Arabidopsis thaliana: one gene and its partner. The protein of the gene in region 1 interacts with the protein of each later gene in a pairwise test. Each region holds a gene or a part of one and is shown in the gene's direction. Other genes may lie near its edges.

What was found.
Region 2: the proteins of NCED4 (region 1) and SERAT1;1 interact in a two-hybrid assay, tested with the Arabidopsis thaliana proteins (one large-scale study listed by BioGRID).

Annotation. Positions count from the first base shown.
Region 1 is NC_003075.7:10,479,439-10,484,547, forward strand, and holds NCED4 (nine-cis-epoxycarotenoid dioxygenase 4), read left to right. Parts: upstream 1-2,180; 5' UTR 2,181-2,396; coding exon 2,397-4,184; 3' UTR 4,185-4,441; downstream 4,442-5,109. Other genes in the region: AT4G19160 (transglutaminase family protein), read left to right, coding at 1-40, 125-217, 353-509. UniProt on the Arabidopsis thaliana protein: May be involved in carotenoid cleavage.
Region 2 is NC_003076.8:22,960,415-22,964,717, reverse strand, and holds SERAT1;1 (serine acetyltransferase 1;1), read left to right. Parts: upstream 1-2,004; 5' UTR 2,005-2,135; coding exon 2,136-2,579; intron 2,580-2,725; coding exon 2,726-3,220; 3' UTR 3,221-3,489; downstream 3,490-4,303. Other genes in the region: ET2 (effector of transcription2), read left to right, coding at 1-334; AT5G56770 (transcription repressor-like protein), read left to right, coding at 729-850, 963-1,365, 1,485-1,724; NDL1 (N-MYC downregulated-like 1), read right to left, coding at 4,112-4,303.

The DNA of each region.
Region 1 (5,109 bases):
GTAGTTCTAATTTCCCATTGTTGCGGCCTCAAGATCTTAGGTAAAAACGTTTTTCAAAAAACAAAGATCTTATAAACCCTTTAGTATTATTCTCTGCCTCACATTCGGTTTCTGCTGATCGAAGGTTGGCTATTGCGGCTGCAGAAAGGTTGTTGATTTTGCAACCTCATAACTGGGCACTTCGCAGAGACCTTGGTATGATGCTGTACTACGACAGGTACAGTAAACTTAGATTTAAATCCTTACATTAAGTGGTTCTTTGTTGCTTGTCCCGGTTCTGTGAGTATTGGTCTGTTTAGTTTGATCAAATAGAAAATCTTGAATTGTTGAGATATGGTTTATTGTGGAGCAGGCAATATGGAGAGGCGGTACAAGAGCTGAGCATATGTATGGCATTTGCTCCTCCTGAAGAAGAAGCTGTGTTGGAGCCATTTGTAGAAAGACTTCATCTCCTTCGTCTCATATCTTCATTGAAGCCTCTTGGTTCTGATCGCTTGACCGTTCCTTGACTTCTCTCTCTCTCTCTCTCTACTCCACTTGTAAATTCACTCTCTTTCTTTCTCTGTTGTGTGTTTGAAGAACCTTTGTAGTAGGAGACATGGAGCTTTTGTTGTTTGTTGTAACTCTACTAGACTACTACTGTTGTTTTCTAATCAGATCTAATGGATTTGGGCCTCCAGCTAAATTTTGAGTTTCCCGTGAATCCATATTTCAAGGTTTTATCTATTTGGGCCTCAACAGCTTAAGCTTATATAAGACGAGCCGATTCGATCATGGTTTAGTGACAACTGACAAGTGTACTTGCTAAGAACCAAGTAACCGAATGAGATTTGGATTTTTAGAAATGATTTTTCAGTTTTACTTTGGTTCAAACCGAAAAAGTAAGCCCCGATCGCATTCAATTATCCAAACACGATAATCTTGCTCAATTCTACTCTTTTAACTTTGGTCCTGTCTGTTTAAAAGCTAAAGAAGATTGGTCCCTACCAAAAAAAAAAAAAAAGCTTAGAGGATTTGTTTTTTGATTTTTTTGCTAAATTTTGCTTAGAGGATTGGCTGGGACTTTAAGATAAAGAAAGAAGAAAAAATTACAGTTACAGTTTAATCAATCGACTTAAATCATATAAACTTAATTTCAATAGATAAGTTTGTATTAGTTTAGCTTGAAAAATAGAAGTAGTAAAGAGTTCGATATTATCTAGAAAACTACAACGTAGGAACAACACATAAACATGTGAATTGTGCATGCATAACCCCAAAGAGTGGCAATATCAATTATCAAATATGCAACACTTGTACCATTACATGTCATTCTATCTTTCATATTTTTGATGATTTTGCACTTTGAACTCTGAACCATCCATGATCCATTCCCTTGACTTGTAAAGGTTATCAATCAAACTTAAGTTTTTAAAAATTAAATTTGTAGTCAAGAATAGTAGTCATATATATATATATATATATACAAAAAACAAAAATTTCCCCGACCCAAGTGACCGAAAATAACGACTACATGTTTTATTCCTCCTTTAGTATAATGCGACATTACAGTTTGGTATCAGTAGTTTTGTATCCTTCTCACAATCACGATTGTTGGTGTAATAAACTTTATTCTTTCTATCCAACATGTTATAGTTTCCACATTTGTGGGTGCTGAAATTTCGACCAATGTCACTCGTAGACTCGTATACCTAATCGAGTTTACTTTTATATCAACAACTACAGACCAAGATTCCCATTTCACGTTGTTGTTTTTTTTTGTTTTTTTTATAAACATTTTTGTTGTTATCGCTAAATCATTAGTAGCTAGAATGCCCCGTACACGGTCTTGAAAAGGAGTCAAATATGTTTTTACCAAAGAAGAAATGTAAGAAACATAACATTTAACAAAATTTTAAAATATATTGACTAACAATTTGACCCAAAAAAAACTATCAAATTTAATAAAATACTTTTATGATTATCATAGTTTTTTTCCTTTTCAACAACTTTATAATACTGTAGTGGCTCAAAGAAACCAGGTCGGAGAAATTGTTCACAAACGAGATAATATACAAATTCAAAATATTTCGATGAAACATTTTTGTCAAAGTTGATGAATAGTTTTGCAGCACATAAAATACAAGATAATTCGTCTGATATTTAGGAAAATAATATTATCGTATGTGAAAATAACAATATAGACAAACCAATATTTGTAGATTAGAACTTCACATAAACTACGAACCAAAGGATTTTAGTAGCTTCACATCAAAGAATAAAAATCTAAGTTTCACAAAGAAACAATTAAATGATTTTTGATTTTGAAAATTTAATAAATAGCCCCACACAACACACTCATCTTCCTTCACAGCCTTAAACGTGGAGCCAAAGAAAGTAAAAACAAAAGGAGAGCAATGGACTCTGTTTCTTCTTCTTCCTTCCTCTCCTCCACATTCTCTCTTCATCACTCTCTTCTTCGCCGCCGATCTTCCTCTCCTACTCTCCTCCGTATCAACTCCGCCGTCGTCGAAGAACGTTCTCCAATCACAAACCCAAGCGACAACAATGATCGTCGTAACAAACCCAAAACACTCCACAACCGAACCAATCACACCTTAGTCTCATCACCACCGAAACTCCGACCAGAAATGACTCTCGCAACAGCTCTCTTCACCACCGTCGAAGATGTAATCAACACGTTCATCGATCCACCTTCACGTCCTTCCGTTGATCCAAAACATGTCCTCTCTGATAACTTCGCTCCTGTCCTCGACGAGCTTCCTCCAACAGACTGTGAAATCATCCACGGCACTCTTCCACTGTCACTTAACGGCGCTTACATCCGTAACGGTCCAAATCCACAGTTTCTCCCTCGTGGTCCTTACCATCTCTTCGACGGCGACGGTATGCTTCACGCCATAAAAATCCACAACGGTAAAGCCACTCTCTGTAGCAGATACGTCAAGACTTATAAATACAACGTCGAGAAACAAACCGGAGCTCCGGTTATGCCTAACGTGTTTTCCGGATTCAACGGTGTAACGGCGTCAGTAGCTCGTGGAGCTTTAACGGCAGCTAGGGTTTTAACCGGACAGTATAATCCGGTTAACGGCATTGGTTTAGCTAATACAAGTCTAGCTTTCTTCAGTAACCGTCTCTTTGCTTTAGGTGAATCTGATTTACCCTACGCCGTCCGATTAACCGAATCAGGAGATATTGAAACGATCGGACGGTACGATTTCGACGGGAAATTAGCGATGAGTATGACAGCTCATCCTAAAACCGATCCAATAACCGGAGAAACTTTCGCTTTCCGGTACGGTCCGGTTCCACCGTTTTTAACATATTTCCGGTTTGATTCCGCCGGGAAAAAACAAAGAGACGTTCCGATATTCTCGATGACGTCTCCGTCGTTTCTCCATGACTTCGCGATCACGAAACGTCACGCGATTTTCGCAGAGATTCAGCTTGGCATGAGGATGAACATGTTGGATTTGGTTCTCGAAGGTGGTTCTCCGGTTGGTACTGATAACGGAAAAACTCCAAGGCTTGGAGTGATTCCTAAGTACGCCGGAGATGAGTCGGAGATGAAATGGTTCGAAGTTCCTGGATTCAATATCATTCACGCTATTAATGCTTGGGATGAAGATGATGGAAACAGCGTCGTTTTGATTGCACCGAATATTATGTCGATTGAACATACTTTAGAGAGGATGGATCTGGTTCATGCTTTGGTGGAGAAGGTGAAGATCGATCTCGTCACCGGGATTGTGAGACGTCATCCGATCTCAGCGAGGAATCTCGATTTCGCTGTGATTAATCCGGCGTTTCTCGGGAGATGTAGCAGGTACGTTTACGCGGCGATTGGAGATCCGATGCCGAAGATCTCCGGTGTGGTGAAGCTTGATGTGTCTAAAGGAGATCGGGATGATTGTACGGTGGCCCGTAGAATGTACGGTTCAGGTTGTTACGGCGGAGAACCGTTTTTCGTAGCTAGGGATCCTGGTAATCCGGAGGCGGAGGAGGATGATGGTTATGTGGTGACGTATGTTCACGATGAAGTGACTGGAGAATCGAAGTTTCTGGTGATGGACGCTAAATCGCCGGAGCTTGAAATCGTCGCCGCCGTGAGGTTGCCGCGAAGGGTTCCGTACGGATTCCATGGGTTATTTGTCAAGGAAAGTGACCTTAATAAGCTTTAACAATATAGGTAACTGCAATAGTTAATAGAATAATTAAGTCTTAATTACGTCCCGTACAACAAATCGCATAGTGTTGTTGCACACTTGCACTTTATACATTAAACTAAAGTACACATAGTTTGGTGGTGGTCGATGTATATAAAACATACCAAAGCTTATGAATATTATTTTTTTCTTTTAAATATGCAGCTTCTGTTATTGGCAATAAATCTTATAAATATTCATTCATTCCGAGAGTTATCAGATCTTAACACAACTCTATTTCTCTATTTCATATTAGTGGAAGATGTAGATAAAAATATGAGAATGCTGAGTTTTAATACTCGAATATGACAATGTGGGCAATGTGTCATGCCAATATTGTTTCTTAAGCATAAAAACTGAATACATTGTTAATAAGATCATGAGACAACTATCAGTCGAAATATGAATGATCAGTTAACGGATAAAGAAAATTAATGCACAGAAAAAGATTTGTGGTTTAGATAAATAAATAGGAACATGAAAAAGATTGTGTTTTAGTGATGGGACCAACGAGACATCATTGTTTTGAGCAAAACATGAGGTATGGATATGGATATGGCCCAACGTCATTTATAGCATATACAACGACCTTTAGAAATGTAACCTCTTAAAACAAATTTAAATCTTTTAATTTTAGTAGTATTAAGAAAACCTTGAAATTATTGTGAATTGGGTGTAGTGGAATCAAAGCAAACGAGTGGCCAAAGCAATAAACGAACGAGAGTGACACTGACATAGATGTAGATTTATCCTTTCGTTTTGAGACCAAAGGGTACAATTATTTACATTTGTTCGAGTATATATATGTCTGTCCAAATTTTGGGATCAAGTTTCACGTGAGATGGGTGAGACTTGATGAAAAAAAAACAATATTGACATTTATGGCAATGAAAACTATTGA
Region 2 (4,303 bases), on another chromosome or scaffold:
TCTTAACCAAACTGACCGTGAGAAAACCGTCAAAGACGAGAAACCTGATCCCGAATCGCATACCGAGTCAATCGAAGAAGAAGCTTTGACTCGCTTCTGTGAAGCTACAACAAAGAATGGGTTACCTTGCACAAGAAGTTCTCCTAAAGGAAGCAAAAGGTGTTGGCAACATAAGGAGAAAACTTCCAGCGATACTTCGCCGGTATATTTTCAGCCAGAGGCAGCAAAAAACGTAGCTTGTGGAGTTAAATTAGGCAATGGATTGATCTGTGAGAGATCTCCGGTAAAAGGACGTAAGAGATGTGAAGAGCATAAGGGAATGAGAATCACCTAACCTCTGCATCACTTGTTTATGTTATTTGTTACCTAACCAGAATTGTTTGTACCAAAACCGTTTTGGTTTCGGTATTGGTTTGCTGAACAATCATCTGTACTGGATGACTCACAATCTCATTTTTTATAAATTTAAAATCAGTTTTGATTAACATCGTTGACTTGCATCTTTGCATTACATTAGATGTTTTTAGATTTAAAAATACATAGACCCGTTTCCCGCCATGCCTCCACTTTGTTACTTGTCCATGATGCGAAAAACTGTAAACGACCCATTTCTTTTTCAACTTCCCTTCGCTTCTTCCATATATCTACGATCGTAATATATCAGAGCTGCCTTCTTTCATTATTTTTCTGTAGCAGAACCGTTTTGTTCTGTTTTATTTTGTTTGACAATGTCGTTTGTTCTATTATCGAAGATGGCGAAGTTGAAGTTTAACCATATACGACACACAATCATTAGCACGCAAAAAAGCACAACCATTATGCCGGGGATAAGTCAGCTCTTGAACAATAGGTCTCTTATCATCTCATCTATTCACAATGTTGTTGCATTTTTATCCTCTGTTTTTTTTCTTACTATTATTGGTCCTTCAGGCTTTAAATTAATGGTCATAATGTATCACCAGATTGATCGGAAAGGAATTCAGTTCCGCCGTCCCCACTATGTTCAAGAGAGAAGACTACAAGCTGACTATACACGACATCGCATTCTCCAAATGGCGGAATCTTATAAGACACAATGATTGGAAAGATTTCAATAATAGAAAAGAAAGGGTCCGTAGATACAGACATGAGGACTTACCCCCTCAACGTTGTACGGGTCTGTATGAGCTCGGTGTAGGCGTCATCGGTCAAGACCAAGGCCAAAACTTTGATCCTGATAATAATGTTCTTGGTGTATATGTCGGACAATGTGTAGACGTAAAATCAAGACTCCAGGATTATGGAAGACGCGGTGGTCATTTGCCCTCGGGTTTATATGAGGACATATTCTCGGAAGGATACTCAGTTTTTTATAGATGGGCACCAGTAAATACATGTCTTCTTATCTTCTCTAGTTGGTCTGCTACGTATACACCTTTGATCCTAACTCATGTGATTGTTTCTCTGCTTTACCGTGATTTATCAGATGGGATCTAATTAAGTAGGAAGCTGCTGCAACAGAAGGGATGCTTTTGAGCACTTTTGATTATGCATGGAACACATGCAGTAATGGGGAACGACGCCATCTTGAGTTACAGAAGCTCGGTGACCCCGAGTTTATGAGCAAGAGAAAGTCACAAGTGCTAGTTCCTTCTATTCGAGACCAAGTTGTTACCATCAAAGTAGAGAAGAGTAATTATACTTTCCTCACTTCAACACTCAAAGTGATGAGACCATTTGGTTAACCGGAGTAAACCTACATCGACTAGGTCAAAGATATGGCTTTTGTTTCTCCTAAATTAATTGGATTGTAACCCACTTATTCACGTTTCAAATTTGTAGTGTTAGTAGTTAATTTGTATAGTTTCTTTTTTTTTTTGATCAAAAATTTGTTACGGAAAAAGTTTGGTAAGAATGTCGGCAGAATCACCACCGTCGATTAACGGAAAGATAAATCTAATCTAACGGTTATTGATAAAGCATAAAACTGACGGCTCCGATTTTATTTTCTAAAAATCACGTTAATCACGCACCAGGTGGACTATCATTGTCTTTAATCTATGGATTTAAAAATTTCCGCACGATTAAAGAGCGTCTCGAAAATTAACTTTTATAGGTAGGAGGAGATAGAAATCGAATCTTATCGCCGCGTTAATATGCCACCGGCCGGAGAACTCCGACATCAATCTCCATCAAAGGAGAAACTATCTTCCGTTACCCAATCCGATGAAGCAGAAGCAGCGTCAGCAGCGATATCTGCGGCAGCTGCAGATGCGGAAGCTGCCGGATTATGGACACAGATCAAGGCGGAAGCTCGCCGTGATGCTGAGGCGGAGCCAGCTTTAGCTAGCTATCTATATTCGACGATTCTTTCTCATTCGTCTCTTGAACGATCTATCTCGTTTCATCTAGGAAACAAGCTTTGTTCCTCAACGCTTTTATCCACACTTTTATACGATCTGTTCTTAAACACTTTTTCCTCCGATCCTTCTCTTCGTAACGCCACCGTCGCAGATCTACGCGCTGCTCGTGTTCGTGATCCTGCTTGTATCTCGTTCTCTCATTGTCTCCTCAATTACAAAGGCTTCTTAGCTATTCAGGTGAAATCTTCATCATTTGATCTGATGAATCCACAATTTCTATATCTTGCGATTTGATTTATGAATATTGTTTTAGGTTAGGTTAGGTTGATTCTTCAGTTATGCGAATTTCGGATCATGATTTGGCTTTGTTGAATTTGAATTAGGCGCATCGTGTATCACACAAGCTATGGACACAATCACGGAAGCCATTAGCATTAGCTCTACACTCAAGAATCTCCGATGTATTCGCTGTTGATATCCATCCAGCAGCGAAGATCGGAAAAGGGATACTTCTAGACCACGCAACCGGAGTTGTAGTCGGAGAAACAGCGGTGATTGGGAACAATGTTTCAATCCTTCACCATGTGACACTAGGTGGAACAGGTAAAGCTTGTGGAGATAGACATCCGAAGATCGGTGACGGTTGTTTGATTGGAGCTGGAGCGACTATTCTTGGAAATGTGAAGATTGGTGCAGGTGCTAAAGTAGGAGCTGGTTCTGTTGTGCTGATTGACGTGCCTTGTCGAGGTACTGCGGTTGGGAATCCGGCGAGACTTGTCGGAGGGAAAGAGAAGCCAACGATTCATGATGAGGAATGTCCTGGAGAATCGATGGATCATACTTCATTCATCTCGGAATGGTCAGATTACATCATATAAAGTTGTTGTTATAATTGTTTCTGTGGTTTTGAAAGTGAAAAACTTTCTGACCATTCGCTTATAGAGAGGTGCTGAGGTAAGTGAGCTTTGTTGTATTTGTAATTTACAAAACATCTTACGATGTTCAATACAAGAAATGGCCTTAATTTGATGTTATTATTCAATCATTAGTTATCCAAGAGTTTATACACTTCTTCTACTTTGTATTCGGGTTTGGCTCGGATTTACACTTGTCTGCATCCATTTTACGGGCTTGACAAACATCGAGGAGCATTGAACTTGTTCAGACTAAGTGAAGCATTCTTCGCCTTTACCCCGGTTCATGAGGGACTATGTTTTCGTCAACCGCAACTAATCCTTATGCGTATCTTATATCAGTATATAACTTACGGCTTCTGCAAAGAAGGATTGGTCTCCATTTCCATTTACAATTCAATTCAGACTAAAAAGTTTCAATCTGATGATCCAAATAGTTCAGGATCAAGACTGTTAAACCATTAAATATCAATATTAAGCAAAAACCAGATTCTAACTTGGTGAAATCAATGTGCTTGTAAGGCCAATTAGAGAACCAAAAACAAAATGCAAAATGAATTTTATTACTTGCTTCTGCAGAGTTCGTCACAAAACAATTGTTACAATGTCACAAGAACAGAACATTTTACATATGTATAAAAAAATGAAATAATAAACAACATTTTGTGGCATCTTAACAAGAGAACTGTCGTGTCGGCTGACTACAAAAGAATGTGTTATATGATGGTGGCTTGAATTTTTCTTCTTCGTCTTCTTCTTCTCAAATCTCCCTAGTATTGTTCTATATCTACAAAAGCCCTAAGATTTCTTCTCCTCAGCAAAATTAGAACCAATGAATCAGTAGTGCACACACACTTAAGCCGCCGAAATTCTGGTTTTGATAGGCTTAAGCTTTAATCCCATGCTTTCAGGAGAGAGAAGCTCAGGTGAAATACAAGAAGGGCTAAGTGGACTTCTAGGGCTCTCGGAGAAAAGAGATGGTCTGTATAATCCGTAACCCATCAAGAAATATTCCATTGGGATCAACATTGCATGTGGTTGCTCCTC